Linked DNA regions of Rhinolophus ferrumequinum. The protein of the gene in region 1 purifies or fractionates together with the protein of each later gene. This does not show direct contact. Links are inferred from orthologs where the notes say so. Each region holds a gene or a part of one and is shown on either strand. Other genes may lie near its edges.

Region 1 (7,974 bases):
GTGGCTGCTAATGCTCCTGCATGTCCTCCTACCATCTACTCTCTGACAGGGGAGGGGGGACAGAGGCGCTGCTCTGACTGGGAGGCTCTGGGACACCAGCCACAGGGCACCCGGAGCCAGGAGTGCTGTCGGGCGCTTTTGTTCCCTGTTGCTGGGATATCTGCCTGCTCAATCATCCGAGCCCTGAGCTGCAGGGTGGCTCTCAGTGCCACCCTATCCTGCCCGCCCTCCCTTACCCCACCGCTTGCGGCCTCTGGCCAAGGGCCTCAGCTCCCCCAGGGCCTGGACAGCCATCTCCCTCCACCGGGGCCTGGCTGGCCCTCTCTGTGGAGTACCATGAGGGTACGCTTGAGGTGGTTTCCAGGCAAAGCTGCGGTGAGGGGCACTGGGCGACCGAGGTTGTGTGCGTGTGTGTGTGTGTACATGCACACCTGTGCAGGCACACGCGAGTGTGTGGAGGGATGAAATGTGGTGGGATCTGATGACATCCCTTGTTTGTTAAGCGGACTGCTGGCCTGGGCCCTCACCCCCCACGACCCCCTCCTCCCACCTCAGGCTGTGAGGCCTCAGTTGATTGTTACACAGCAAAGAGCATAAGTGCTCATTCCTGGGGCCCACTTCCGCAGCCTGAACTTCCAAGGCTTGGGGTTGGGTGGGGGTCTCTGATTTCTCACTGAGGCTACATATGGGACTACCTCAGAGTCTGGGCCCAAGCGAGTGTAGAAGAGCTTGAGACTGTGATCTTGCGGCCTGCTGCCTGTGGGTGCCCCAGAAGAGTCTGGGTATCCCTGGGGCCTCTGTCCCCAACTAGCCCCTGATCCCAATGGTTGAAGACTCTCAGGGCAATATCTGCCCCGCCTCAAATCACCATCCTGCCTTGTTCATTCCTAGGTGCATAGTCTTATCCAAACCATGCTGGAGACAGCAGTCTGGGGGCTGGGCAGCAGGGTGGATGAGTGGGTAGTGACCCTGCCAAGGCTGGGATGTTTACATGGTGGCCTGGCCCCTTGGCTGCTCTGCGCCAGGTTCCGGAGACTCGGAATATGAAGCCAGTGCAGGAGGCAGAGCCCCAGTGGAAAGCACCTGGCTCAGGTAATTGTTCCCCCAGGGAGGGTGACTGAGAAGAGGGGAAGGAGTGGGGGCAGGAAACTGGGGAGGGGCTGGAGTGGGGGGCTGGGATAGCTGTTTTAGGAAGGCCCTGTTCCCCCTCCACTGGAACACATCTGGCCTTCACACCTCCTGCATTCCCCAGCAAGCCAACTGCGTGCAGAGCTTGGCAGGGGGCGATGCTCCAGCTTCCGTTTCTGAGTCAGGTCATGACAAACTGTCCTTGGGCAACGCAGTGTCTAGGAATCCTAGCACTTGGGACGAAAATGTGTCCCTCAGTCTATCACCCTCACCTAGGGGACTGTGTCCATGCATAGTCTGGCTCTGGTCCTTGGGCTGAGCCTCCTGGATGAGCGAACCTCAGCGTTTGCATCCCTAAAGCCCTCTGAACACCCACCCTCCTTCTTCTCTAAAGTCAAATGAGGGGCAGTTCCAAGCACTGGGCTCCTACGGCCTTCCTCCCTTGGGGCCCTGGCTGGGCTGCACCTACTAGGCTGAGGATCTGGGATGTGAGTCCAGTAAGGGCAAGAGTGGAGAGGGAGGAAGAGAGTGGGAAGCGAGCGACCACAAGCCGCACCTCCCCTACCTGCCAGGTTGGATCTGCATGGCGGAAGTAGCAGAAGTTGTCCGTGATCCATTTATAGATGGCGGACAGGGTGATCTTGGTGGCCTTGCTGGCCTGCATGGCCATGCAGATGAGCGTGGCATATGAGTAGGGCGGCTTCACATGAGGGTTGGTGGCGTAGTCCACGTCGTCTGGGGGCGGGGCCTGCAGTCCCGGGGGCGAGCTCCGAGACGTGCACGACGACGTGGGCTTGCCTGGCGTGTGCGGCTGCCCCAGGCAGGCGGGATCCGCCGCGAGGGGGGACCCAGGCGCCGCAGAGCCTGGAACCTGGTGGTAGCCGTGGGGGTCGGTACCCCCCGGGGGCAGGGTAGGGGCCTTGGCGTTGAGAATGGAGAATTCCTGCAGCCACTGCAGGCTGGTCAGGCTGTCATCCAGGGTGTCGGGCTCCTCCAGGCCGCCCTCCGGCCCGGCATCCTCCGCCGTCCCCGCTCCAGAGAGGCGTAGCCAGCTCTCCGCCATGTCTGCGGGGACTCTCCGAGGGGGCGGTCAACATCCAAGGGCTGAGCCAAGGGTGGCCGCCGTGCTCTCTGGCCCTCTGACTTCTGCAGCTCCAGTTACACAGCCTCCTGGACGCGCGCTTCCGTCCCGCGACCCGGGGGTGGCCTCTTCGGAATAGGAATGTGGGGCCTGCGGGGACCACAGCGGGAGTGAGCACTCTTCCCCCACCCCCCGAGAGCGGGGTGTGTGCGAGGAGGAAGGCTCCTCTAAAATCGTCCCCGCAGCCTGGAGGATCTTGTAGTGTGGAGGTCTGGGAAACAGAAGCAGAGCCCTGGGGTCCGACCCCCCGGGTCCACCTCGCTCGCAATTTTCCTTTTTGAGGTTGGAGAGGAGACTTTAGTAGCCAAATGAGGGAAGAGGACAGCGGCATCCAAGGCTATCCCCTTCTCCCCAAGAGCGGGAAATCAGACACCCCTACCCTGCAACAAATGCTAATGGGGCAAGGGAACCAAAGAGGGCAATACGACGGGGCGGGGAACTGGGGAGGTCGTCTGATCTTTGAAAAGGGATATTAGGATGGAAGATCACGGAGAAGGAAGGGAACAGGACAGAGTTATGGGAACGGGAAGTGAGTTACCCCAAACTCCTCAGATGTCAGTCGCCGGGCCCACCACTTCCGTCGGGGACCGATAGGAGAGCCGGCTGGTACTGACGTCCCTCCCTGCGTCCCGCAGCCCTCCCGGTCCCTTACCTGGCTCAGAGCGCAGCCCAGGCCAAAGGAAGGTTCTGGAAGAAGTTCTTCCCAACCCTGTGGCTTTCTGCCCCCAGCTCCAGGGCCCCGGTAGCGCCGCTCGTCGCCCCCCAGCCCGACGGCGCTTCTCTGAGCGCCAGCGGCCCCGGGACCGGCATTAAGTAGCCGCTCCAAAGGCTTCTCCTGTTGCCATGACGACACCCCGCCCCTATAAACAGCTTTCGCTGCTGCCATTGGTTAGCAGTATCCAAGGAGACCGCGGGCTCTTGCCTCTCTATCTGGCGGTAACTCTCTTGGAACTCCCTCCTTCTGCTGCCCTCTCCCGCGCCACCCAGCCCCCTACCCGCCACCGCGACTTGGGCTCCGCGCATTCCCGCCCAAGGGAATGGAGAAGCGCGCAGGGCTCGGAGAAGCGCGCGGCTCGGCGCTCTGGTGGAGACCCGCGCACCCCGGCGAGCCGTTTGCCCCGGGAACCGTACTCCCGCCCCGACCCTTCCTGTCCCAGCTGCTCCGAGGCATCGACGGCTCCAGGGACGCAGCCCCGGGAGCGGGAGCCAAGGCTGGGAGCGGGCTCAGACTTGGGAACCGTGTGCTGGGGGTTTCATTTCCTCTCCTCTGGGCTGCGAGTGACACTCCCTCACGTTTCCGCGGCCTGTCCCTCCCTCGCGATCCGGAGTATCGGCTCTGCTGTCCGCGGCAGGTCTGACTCTCCGATGCCACCTGCCGCTCAGGGCCGCAGAAATGGCAGACACACCAAGGCGGGTAGGGTAATCCATTTTCCCGGTAAGCGGCTTCCTCCCCACCCCTGACATTCCAGAAACTTCTGCGGCAGTGTTCTCCCTCCTTTCCAGATAGCTTAGGAAGTAGAGCCGGTGAGTCAAACTCAGAAAAGCCATGGACTTGCCAAAATCTCATAGCGGGGTCATTTACCCCATTAATTTCCCCAACCTTTAAGTGACAGCGACTAAGGGTGGAGTCACTCCGGGACTGTGGCCCTTCCTCCTCCCTTTTCCGGGCCTCCCTCCTGTCACCAGCTTCTCTGCTTTTCAATTATTGAGGAGCTGCAATGTTGGAAGTTCTCGGGTTTACAGGAGAGGGTGGGGGTGAGAGCTCCTTACTCAGGCGTCTGCCCGGCCCTGGAGGGCTGGGGTGGGAAGCCTGTGCACAGGGGATGGTACAGCAACTCCTACCCAGGGGCATGTCCTTCCTACCCCTTGCCCTCTTCCACTCCTCCACTTCCAGATTGTCTAGAGTAAAAGTATGAAAGAGTGCTGGAGAAAGTCGGATAGAAACTTTTCACAAATAGGCCAATTGTGCAGTTAACAGCTCTCCTTCCTGTGTAAACAGTTTTATTCATTTTTAGGAATCATGCAGCAATCCATAAATATTGCATCCTCGATGTCCCCACTGTAGTGTGCCCATGAGTGTAACTCCAGGGAGTGAGAGGGGTACACAGATGGCACAACAGTACACACACACACTTGCACACACCAGGTGTGCAAATCCTAAAGCAAAGTGACCAACAAGCGTGCCGAGATCAGGCGGACAGGACACTAACTCTCCCCGGGTGAGACGGCTTAAAGTGTGTAGGTCTGTGCCCAGGAGGTGTCCCAGCGTGGGCATGAGCTCTGGTGGGATGGAACTGGGTAGGGAAGGAAGAAAGGCTCTGAGGAGGCCTGGATCGCCACACCATCCGGACGCACCGTCTCCAGATGATGGATGGGCCAGTAGGGTTGGCAGCTGCCCTGTTCCCTGATCAGGCTGACTGGGGACCAGCCCCTTTGGGTGGGATATTCTGCTTGCCAAAGATTTAAATGAGAACAAGAGGAGTGAGAGGGAAGAAAGGAAGTGTCTGAGAAACTAGGAGTGAAGGGCCCTTCTAATGCAGATATGGCAAGGCCTGGAGGAAGCTTTCTGAGCCTCTTCCTGGGAGAGGACAAAGACCCTCCAGAACAGGTGAAGATAACGACTTCCTCTTGCGGTTCCTGGCCACTGTGGCTACTGTTTACCTGCATCTCCTTCATCTCAGGTAACACCACACTGTGGATACTACCTGCTGGGAGAGGAGGTGGGTCTGTGTGCCACCACCCTAGGCTAAGGGGAGCTCCAGCTTCAAGGAATCGGGGAGTGGGGTTATTGCTCAGATCTTAAATAGGAAAGGTGGGAGAAAGAAAGGTCATGAAGTTGGGCCTGAACCAGCAGGGTCCACTGCAGGATTTCAGACAGGGTGGGTGTGGGAACTCAAGACAGAAGCTTAGAGTCTGGCATGGCTCATATTACATCTGTCAGAACAAGTCACCTCCCCTCCCCCGCCCCATACCAGGGCAGGATGTGAGCCACAACCCGTGAGGGTCACCGCGTACCTGACAGTGCACAGAAGCCACACAGAACGTGCAGTGGATCCCCTGGGCACTGGCTCTCTGAGGCCCTTGAAATGGCCCCGAGAAGCTCTTCTAGGGTGACAATTCCAAATACTAAGACAGGCCATCAGGAAGAACAGAGCCACATCTCAGCCTTACATATTGTTGTACCTAGTTTTGCTTCCCAATGCTGTGCTGTTCACTAAAGCACAAAGCAAGAGCAGTGTGGATACCATAACACAATTGTTGAGAGCGGAGTACCACCCTGCAGCTTGCGGTCCAGGCTCGCTGTTGCAGCCACCTCACTGGGCTGGGGTGGGCACGAGATGTGAACAATAGCTCTAAATGTCTAATGAGCCTGTGGAAGGCAGTACCTCCCCCTCCCCTATCAAGCTCAGGAGAACTGGAAGGCAGGGGAGGAGAACGTGGGGGTGGGGAGCTCCCAGAGGTGAAGGCCCTGGCTCCCAGCCCCCTGCTGGCCGGCTCCACACTTTCCACCATTTCTGTTGGGGCTCCTGGGCTCCAATGGGAGGATCACTGGCCCACCCTTCCCTCAGCCCATTTCTTCAACTATTAACAAAAAGGGGTGGAGACGGGGAAATAGGGATACGAATGCCACCTGACAGGGCCGTAGTGATGAAATGTGATAATATATGACAACTCCTAACAGTGCCTGGCGCATACAGGTCGTCAGAAAGTGTGTTTTTTGAAATGTCACCTTAGGATGGAGTGCCAGTCCTTCACGAATGCACCTGATGCTAAGAAACCCTCCCGAGGGTAACTGTTTAATGGGGGGATTCTCAGGTTCAAGACCTCCTTCCTAAGCACACAGACACACAAGGCACAGGAGACTAGCTCGGCTGCCAGAAGGAAGAACTGTCTTTTCAACCAACCTTTTGTTTGCCACCATGTCCCTTGTCCTTCGGAAAGGAGCTTTTTGAGGGAATCTCTACTTACAGTGCAATATGGCTTTCCCTTCTCACAGGAGTCATCCCCCAACCCCACCCCAAATTGGAGGTTTCAAATTGGTTAAGATGTCCCAGAAACCAGAAAATGCCAGATGGGCGTCTGTGGTGAAGCTGCTAAAACTCCAAGTCGTCTTGTTCTAACCCCTAAGGAGGAGAAAGATGCACTATCAGCCTGTGGACCTGGGTGTCACCTGAACGAAGACCAAGCAATATGGTGGGAAAATTCCACAGCATCTCTGCAAAGGGTCTCATGAGGCGCAGTTCATCGATGGCTTCCGCCCACAAGCAGAAAGGAGGCTTCCGGTCCCTTCTGAGGGGAGGGATCACGGTTATGGCAGGAGATGAGGCTGGGAGGAGCAGGCTGACCTCAGTGTCCGGCTTTCCCACGGTATCCAAGTCTCCATGTGTCTTGCTGAGCATGCCCAGGAGGCCAGCGGTCCAGTGAGGCCAGGATGGACCACGGGGTCAGGCAGGCAGCCCTGTGACAGGGGTGGGGCTCTCAGACGGCCAAAGGACCCCACACGCAGGGCCTGTTCTCTGCGTCCTCCAGACTGCTGGATGATAAGCGCCGGCGCTGTGTGTTGTGATGGCTGACTACGTTGTCATCTGCTTGCCAGGTACCTGGAGGAGAGAAAGGAAGGTTATAGGAGGCAGACCTTTGGCCAGGTCCAGATGGTGTCTCCAGCAGGGCAGCCCAGGAGCTCGGCACAGACGTAGCAGGATGCGTGTTACCTGAAACTTGTGTGCACATGCCGGCCACATTGTGTGAGAGTACGGGCAGAAGTAGGCGCCACCAGGTGCAGGGGGCTGCTCCTGCCCCACCGGGCTAGGTAGGCATGGCCACTGTGGCCCACTGACAGAGGGACACGCAGGAGGTTCCTTGTTTTGTGAACGTGCCCTAGGATCCACTTTTGTATTTCATTTGTTTTGAACTTGGGCCATATGTTATGGCGGACAAGGAAAAAGAAAGGGGGTCTAGCTGAGATCTTCCTCAGGGCAGGAAGAAGTGGAGGGGACGCAGAAGAGTGTGTTCATTTGGGCCCAGAGTGTTAGCGTTCTTTGTTCGCTGGAGGTTGGGGGGCCGGAAGTGACTGGCTGCCCAGCAGGGTGCCAGGGACCCAGTGGCATTGGGGGAGGACAGGGCGATGAGGGTTCCAGCACCCCTTCCCCCACACCTGTTGCTCTTCATCTCTTTCTGACCCGAGCAGCAGCCTAGCAGCCGCTGAGGTTTGCTATCAGCTGGTGCCATCAACCCCAGGAGACATTAGCCCCAGAGCCTTAGGGTCCCACAGGTATCACCTACTAAACTCATCATCTCCCCCAGCCTGCCTTCTTGCACGTGGAGCACCGGCTGCTGTGGTGCAAAACCCTTTCTTCTCTCTCCTTCGTGCTCTGTACCCAGTCCATCGCTGCCCCGCTGTGCACTCCCCAGTTACGTCTCAATTAGTCATCAGAACACCTGGGCTCCACTCCCAGTTCCTGAGTACGGACTGTCAGCCCAGACAGGTCACTTTCCTTACTTCACAGGGCTGCAGTGATGACAACAGGTAGCGCGGGACAGTGCTGAGCAGGGCTCCGGCTGGCAGGCTGTGCTCAACAACCAGCGCCCCCAGCTTTGCTTAGCCACCCTCACCCCTTCCCTCCACCTCCCCTTAACGGTTCCCCCAGCCCACAGCCTGGCTCCATCCAGTGCAGCCAGAAGCTCCTCTGAGAGGAAAGGCAGGG
Region 2 (8,170 bases), on another chromosome or scaffold:
TTAAACATTCCACTGTACAAGGTATATTTTTGTGTTTCTTGTCCCTAAAAATAAGTTATTAAGCAAAAAAACCACAAAATTTTTGGAAAGATATTCCATGCACATAAATTCTCACTTTACACAACAAACAAAAAAAGGCATCAGAAGAGACAAATTTATGGAATTTGAATCAATGATTTTTATTTTTTCTTTATATTAGTAGTTGATAAAAATATTTAGAAGGGTAAAAAAAATTCAGTTATATGCTTTAACAATGGCATATTAGTCAAAAAAAATTTAAATGTAGGCTTAATAATGTATTGTGATGGTGGGGGGAGGGAGGATAAGATGTATGTATTCCAGGGGGAATATACTTTTAATATGTTTAAAATAGGAATAATGGCCCGACAGGAACTTAGGAGATGTTTTTTCCAGACTGTACATTAAAGGGGAAAAAAATTAAAGAGAGAGTCAACTTAAGAATTTCTTTGGCAGTTGAAGACTATGGCTCAAATAAAATCATTTTTGATAAATATTTTTGATATTAATTGAATAAAAATAAAAAGCTTTTCAGCACATATTGACATTAATTGCTGATTAAATTATAAGAGTTAACCTCTAATAGAGTTCAAGTTCATTGCCTGGTAAAAGTCTACTTGGGGTTCACAAAATTCTTAAGAAATGAAATGCTGGTAGAAGTATCTATTAACTTTATTTATATTAGTATTTCCTCCACCAAAAAAAAACCTCCTAATTTCACAGACGTATTACATAAACGCATGTTTAGCATTTTGAAACAATTCACTGATGTGCCATCTCTGAAAATTCATGAAAATTACAATTGTAGAATTGAGATCATTCAAGTCTTTTAATTCTTAATTTATAAATATTTCCTTCCACCTCCAATCTTAACTGTTAGAGAGTTTACATAACTTTCTCAACCTGGTCAGAGTTAGCACCAAAATCTCTCAAGTACTCCTAATGTTATCTCAGAAGAAAGTTATTCTCGATAATCATCTAGAGTTCACTCAAAGCAATTTCTTTAGTTTCTAGATGTATTCAGGATTAGAAAGTAGCAGGACTCATTTCTTTGAGCAGCAAATCAACATTACCTACCGTATGGTCACACTTGACACATATTTGAAAATTTATCAAGGATAATCTTACTACCTATTACTTATCATCTTTCTGTGCTGGGGTAAAAAAATAATTCCAAGTTATATATAAGGATGGACATACTTAGGAATGCTGAGTAAATACTTGGTTTGTATTACTTAAATAAAACACAATTAGAAAGACAAATCTACGAAAAAAAACAAAGAAAACAAAACCTATAATGTTTTCAAAACCAAAATATACTTTGGGTGGGTATGGGTAAAGTTGGGGGTGCTCCAGAGAAGAGTGGCAAATTATGTATAGTTTGAATTGCCTTGGCCTCTATCACTCCCTATTATTATTGACAATTATCATATATCCACAGAATTTCAGATCTACGGCATTTAATAATCCAGTAGTCTAATTCCCCAGTGCTCTGCATATCTTAAGTAGTCAATAAATGGTTGAAATGAAACCATTCATTTCACGAGAACTAAAACTCTAGGTGTCTCTTAATTTAAGAAAATTGGGTATTATAATGAAGTATACAATTTTTAAGTAGATGTGACTTCTGCTTTATAATAAGGATTCCCCACAAATTCAGTGGTAAGCTGCCACAGACCAATACATTAATTTTCAAAACTCTCATACATACAATTTTTTGGAAGTGAACCATCACATATCAGTATTTTATCTTTTCATAGGCAGCTTTTCCTTCTACAAGCATTAATGTCAGTCCTTGAATATTCGGTAGATATCAACAGGAGAAAATAACCTAATAGATAATATTGAAAAGGAAACTTCCCCATGAGAATGTACTAATTTATAAAGTATATAATCTATACCTAAATAATCAGGGCTTTGTATTTTTCAAATGATTCAGATACAAATCTGTTAACTGTCTAATATCTCTGAGCTGAGAGCAAAAACAATCCAAGTTCAAAGGACATAACATTTTAAATTCATAGATACTGACTTTGAGCATTTCACAGACAGGAACTATGTCTGGTCCATTTTAGGTACTCAACAAATAATTACTGCATTAACAGTTTATCGAATTTGTCAAGAACTGTTAAGATACTTTTTGGTTAGATACCTTTTATCATTGAGCCCAGTGTGTAATGCACTATAACAGATAATAAATGTTAGACAATGCTCTTTTCTGTGACTTAACAAATAATTTATTTCTGAAATATATACACAACATATATGAAGATGCAACTATACAGCTTAAAAATGACGAAAAAGGAGATCCAATCAGAACTGACTATAGGCAAACAGATTTCTAGGTCCTTTCATAACTATTTATATAGCAGAAAACAATACATGCATATATATATAATCCAACATGTTTTTGAATCTATAGCTTGAACTGGTGGCTTATTTGATTCAGTGTGGTAGTAACATTGAAAAATTCATATTAATCTCACTCTGGTTAGAAGTTCTAAATCTGAACTTTTAAATAACTTACTTAAGGAAATTTATTCCTAAGGAAAAAGCCAAATCAGAAAGTAGGTTAAAAAAGTCTCTAAGCAGCTTAAAACTGATATTATAATGTCCTTGCACAAAGGTTGCAAACTTTTTCTAAAGGAGAGTTCCTCAAAGTACCTGTTTATACTCTTGAGACAGTTTTGCTCAAGCTTCATTATGTGGTTTTCTTGCCTGTAGATTAAAAGCAGCAAATTAAAAGGGTGGGGAGGCTAACAGAACTGTTCACTGACAGCAGTTAAGAAGCAACAGCTGACAGTGAGGGAAGGGGCAGGCTAACCACAACAGACAATAGCACTAAAAAAGCAAAGCTATTCTGAGCTGTGTAGTGTGAGCAAACAGTTTCGTACACCATTATAGGAATATAATAAAACGAATATTCATAATGACTACCAGTTTTCATACAGCTGGAATGCATACCTTATTTCCCATGTGTATGTTGCAATTTTTATTCTAAATTTGAAGAATTGAACTGCTGTTGGTCACATTATCATTTGTCTCAGACTAGAAGGGCTACTAGTACCGTGGTGAGTCATGCAACCTTTCAGCTTTAGCACTGTGCTCACCACTGTTCACTATTACATTGTAACACATTATAAGAACCTCTATAACTCATTATAAGATTACCAAAGGCAACATCACTTTTTTAAATCTATTAATAGTGGATTCCAAACTACCCTTCCCTAATATCCCATGACACAGAGCCCTAAGAGAAAATCACTGACTTTTAAGACTGTGCCTGTGTTCTCTAAAATATTATGTACCTAATAGTGTTGAGGATTAAATGAGATAATGTATGTAAAACACTGCGGCAGTGTTAAGACCTTAGTAATGGTCGCTATTATTATTTTAGCACTGTGAATTTATGTAGGCCCAAACCCCTTATTTTGCAGGTGCAAAAATTAAGCCTCAAGAATAGGACGGACTTCCTATGGCTCTACTTCTAAGGTTATTGTCTTGGATAAGCAGCTTAGCTGCCTGTGTTGGAGGTTTGGGGTACTGGCTGGGCCTGGGGGCATGTGCCTGCAGGAGTCCTGTCTGCAGAGAACTGGACGACTATATTTGAACCGTTAAGTATCAGAGGCTGTGCAATACCAAGGGCAGCGGTTCGAGATGGCCAGTAGTGTGGTAACAACATCCACTACAGAAGGAAGCCTGTTCGTCTGTCTCAATACAGCAGGTTGTCAAGTAACCGGGGCATAGGGCCAGGAAAGCAATAGAATCGGGGGTTGAGCTCAAATCCCGGTTCGGTCAACTTTAAAGAGGGACGAGCACTTTACTTAAGGGCTGAAGATAGCGCGGAACTAGAAACTAACTGGGTGCTACCTCGGAAGGTGTAAGTTACCGCACCCCTCAACGCCTTTCGCGGAGGTGGACCGCCACGCGTTTCCACATCGTCCCGGCAGGGCAGTTTTTCGCTGCTTTCTAGCACTTACTCCCCGCCCCATAGGTACGGAGTGATAACCTCGCTTTTCCTTCTGGAATGAGGGCTGGATGAGTTCAGACCTTTCTCTCTGCGCGCCACGCAGCGGCGGGACCGCGGGAGGCCGGCGCGCTGCCCACACGCGCGGCTCATCTGCTCTAAGATGGCGACGATGGCCGCTCGCTCACGCCTCGCCGCCCGCTCTCCCCGGAATTTTGGCCTCAGGAGGCGGGAGCGGGCCAGGGCGCAGAAAGCAGGAGGGCGAAAACGGCTCGGACCCTCCAGTGCAGCGCAGGCTACGGAGCCCTAACGGGCCAAGGCATGCTATAAGGCGGATACAACTAGGAACACCGCCGTAGCCTGAGAAACGAAGGGGGATTAAAAAAAAAAAAAAAAGGAAAAAAAGAAAAAGGGAAAAAAAATAAATAAAAGCGGCGGCACATCCGGGACCATCCGATAGCCCCGCCCCGGAAGTGACACTTTAGCAAAGGGGCGGAGGGCGCACTTGAAAGTGGGCCCTTCCCCAGCTGTTGCTGGTCTGCCCAGAGAAGTGTTTGGAATCGACCCCACCACCTTCCTTCCGTGGGTTAGCCATTACCTTCTCGCGACTCGGGGGCTCCTTTGCTAAACGCTGGCTGCTGGGACTGGCAGCTCTCGGTTCACAAAACGTACCCCTCGCACCACGCCCCTCAACTCCCCGTCCAACCTGGCCAGCGCGGGTAATAGCGTACCTTTGAGAGAACTGGGGTGACCCTAACTCCTGCCAAACCCGTGAGCTTCTATTCGGAGGCCTTACTCGGAACCCCGGCCTTGTGCCCCCACCAGCCCGGGATCTGGGGTTGTCAGTCATGGTGCTGAGCCCGCCCCTTCCGGCGACTCTCGGGGCCCGCCTCCTCCCCTTTTCCCTCCCCCACCCCTCCCCTTGCGAGTGTCTCCCTCTCCCTTTCGCTCTCTCTCTCCCTCTCTCTCTCTTTTGTGAGTTATAGCAACCGTTGCCTTGTGAATCAAGCGCCATAGTCACCGTAGTCCTGGCGACTGTTACCCATCAACAACAACTACTCCTCTCCTCCTCCTCCTCCTCCTCTTCCTCCTCCTCCTCCCCACCACCACCATCTCCATCACCCACCAACAACACCACAATAATCCACAGCCAAGGTGAATATTCTTCGGTCTCTACATGTGTGTGGGAGCGTGTGGATGCGTGTGAACGCGTGTGTCCGTGCGTGTGTGTCCGTGTGTGCGAGCCGACTGTGGCTGTGCTGGGGTCTCACTCCTGACACCGGGGGCTGCCGCTGCGGCGCCGCAGCCGAGGGGCTCCGTCCCCCGGGCTTGTTTACAATGGACCGTGCGCGCCGCGGCTGGGTCGGGGGTGTGGGCGCCGCGCAGCCCGCCCGCCGGCCGGCCCGGGCCCTCTGCGGCCGCGCTTCAGGGATGGAGCGGGAGCTCTGGGGGCTGCGAGATGAGCGGGAGAGGGAGCCACAGTTTTCCGTTGCGGATGGTGGAGCTCTCCCCTTGGTCTGATCTGAAGAAGAGAGTCAGGTGAAGAGAGAAGGGTTTTTTTCTTTAATTTAATTCTTTTTCAAAGCTGCTTGTTTCCTGCTTCTTTCAAAACCGAAATAGACAACAATGTGCCGGGCGGGGGGGTACCCAAGAGGTGGTGTTTTGTTGTTGTTGTTCACTTGTGGGGCCTTGTTAAGGGTTTTGTTATTTTTATCCTCGTACAACGGTGAACTTTTCCCACCGCCTATTCCCTTTATTTTTGCCTTGTGCTAAATGGGCTGCCTTTTTTTTTTTTTTTTTTTTTTACCATCATCAGCTGCACGGATTTCTTTTTTCTTTTAAAACTGTTTTCTTTGTGCTGCAAACAGTCTTAATATCCATTCAGCACTCTCCCCCCACCCTTTCTTCTCCCCCCACACCCCTTGCACACTGAAACCTGGGGCCTCTACGCTGGACTCCGCTGTACTGGAAAAGATTTTTTTTTAAAGTCTCTCTCCTCTCTTTTTTTGGGGTGTGTGTGTGTGTGTGTGTGTGTGTGTGCGTGCGCGTGTGCGCGCGCGCTTGTGATTTAAACCGGATGCAGGGCATCAGTGATACTTGGGTTAGTAGTTATTGACAGTGCTTTATCCTTCATGAGGAGATGGGAGGGGTAGTAGTGAGGTTCCATTTCACTTTGATGAACCTCCTTCCCCACAGTGGAGTGTTAACAATTTTCATTGTGGTTGTAAGACTTTGTGTGTGATAAACAGGGAAAGGACATGAGGAAGCTTTGTGAGAACTCAGTTTACAGTGTTATTTGTGACAGTTATGGTACTTTAAAGAGTTTTTTTTTTTCTCCATCTTTTTCTCTGTTCGCTTTTCTTTGAGAGTTGAAATTGAAGTCAAGTTGTTCATAAAGAATGTATGAAGCTTCTCAACTTGAAACGTGTGTATATTTCACTTTCTTTATGGTTGTTAAGATCTAGGCATGTGTGTACTTAACATACTCTTCTTTATTTTTGGTTTTCTTTGGGCAGTGACTTAAACATGGTGAGAGGAGAGAACTTTCTCCTTTTTAAGTCTCTTTTTAAAAAAAATCTATTTTTTTCTCTGTACATTTGAATACTTATCAGTCCTCAAGTAGTATGGCTGTTGGTGAGAGGTAACGCAGTTTTCCAGATCCTGTAAATGTGTTCATTTTTCTGCCTAACGTTTAATTAATAGATTATTATCAGTAAAGAGTTTTGATAATGAATGTGTGCTAAAACAAATATAGTATTATATTTGCACATACTGAAGTTTCCAATTTGGAATTTTAAAATACTTATTTAAATAATCTTCTTTCTAACAGTAAACATATTGATTTACCTGACAGAGCACTGTGAATAATGTAACAGTATTAATTATTCTTGAGATTGTCAAAGAGTAGGTTGGGTAATTGGAATACTATTAAGGCCAATACTTTGTAAAATAAGAGTTGTGTTTTGTTTTTGTTTTTTCTTTATTAACTCTCCCTTTTTCAATACATTTTCTTGTGATTGCTATTTTAAATGAGGATGATAGTTCTGAAAGAAGTCTTTCTCAGAGCATCCGAATTCCTTTATATTCACCCCCTCCCCAACTTGGCTTCCATGCAAATCTCTAATACTAACTTGTTATTTTTTTTTTCTTCTGTTCAGATAAGTGTCAAATGCCTGAACTCTTTTGGATGGTGAAGCTCCTGAGTCCTATAAACTCTCTCTGAAGTTAATAGGAGTTTTGCTGTCTTGAGACAGTTTCAGACCTTATGCCATTTACATAATGGGTTTTCAGCTGAATAGATTATATGCTATAATGTTATGGTTTAATATTTTTATTTGCAGTGTCCAAGAACTTTTTTGAGGCATTTCACTCATGAAAATGACCTCAGATTCAATAATTTAGACGTTCATTCACAAGTTGATTTGAAAGCAGAACTTAATTTGAATTCTATTATCCTTTTTTAAAAGCATATAGGTGATATAAAAGTTGCTGTTAGAGATGCTTTGGGCTCAAGTATGTCAATATCAATCATATGGATTGAGAAAATAACCAGAAATATTAGCAAATTACAATTTTTTAAGTTTAACAGAAGGGTAAATAGTTAGCACTTCGTTTATTCTTTCTGTGATATTTTTCCTGTAAGGGAGTATATTGTGTATTGCTATTCTTCTGTGTTCTCACTTTTTTTTTTTTTTGTTCTCACTTTTTAGACTAATAGAAATCTCTGAAAGTGAATGACCACTCTTTAAAACTAAAACTGTTAAATAGGAGTCACTTGTGGCTTGTTTTTAGTAGCTGAATATCTGTGATTCGTTGTATTGTCATAACGACTATCTCAGTCTTTTAGATTATTTTGCCTGTGAATTGAATTAACCGGTATCAGCATATTTTTGTAGTATATTTATGTGTGTAATATAGTAAACTAAAATGTATTTCTAAAATGCATCATTCCATAATTTTTCATTATATGGGGTAGTTATACCTAATTTCAAAACTAATATATTATTCCTCCAGTATTCTAATAGTCTTGTACTCTACTTAGATACTCAAATAAAATGTTTATAATTTATAATTTTAATATACTTTAACACTAACCAACTTTTTTTACCCTAAACACCGTTAATAAGGTAAATTTTTTTACCATTAAACATTAACAATTAAAAATGAATAAATCCTAAATCAAGA

The links. The genes of interacting proteins can lie anywhere in the genome.
Region 2: the proteins of FOXJ1 (region 1) and RFX3 purify together in Homo sapiens (affinity purification with mass spectrometry; 3 studies listed by BioGRID and IntAct, counting the BioPlex papers as one, with this or other methods). This does not show direct contact. The link is inferred for Rhinolophus ferrumequinum from reciprocal best matches to the Homo sapiens genes FOXJ1 and RFX3.

The regions. Positions count from the first base shown.
Region 1 is NC_046304.1:50,902,763-50,910,736, forward strand, and holds the start of FOXJ1 (forkhead box protein J1), read right to left. Parts: upstream 3,093-7,974; 5' UTR 2,922-3,092; intron 2,360-2,921; 5' UTR 2,192-2,359; coding exon 1,694-2,191; intron 1-1,693. Other genes in the region: E3 ubiquitin ligase RNF157, read right to left, coding at 6,749-6,870. UniProt on the Homo sapiens protein: Transcription factor specifically required for the formation of motile cilia. Acts by activating transcription of genes that mediate assembly of motile cilia, such as CFAP157.
Region 2 is NC_046295.1:32,635,206-32,643,375, forward strand, and holds the start of RFX3 (transcription factor RFX3), read left to right. Parts: upstream 1-4,926; 5' UTR 4,927-5,140; intron 5,141-8,170. UniProt on the Homo sapiens protein: Transcription factor required for ciliogenesis and islet cell differentiation during endocrine pancreas development. Essential for the differentiation of nodal monocilia and left-right asymmetry specification during embryogenesis.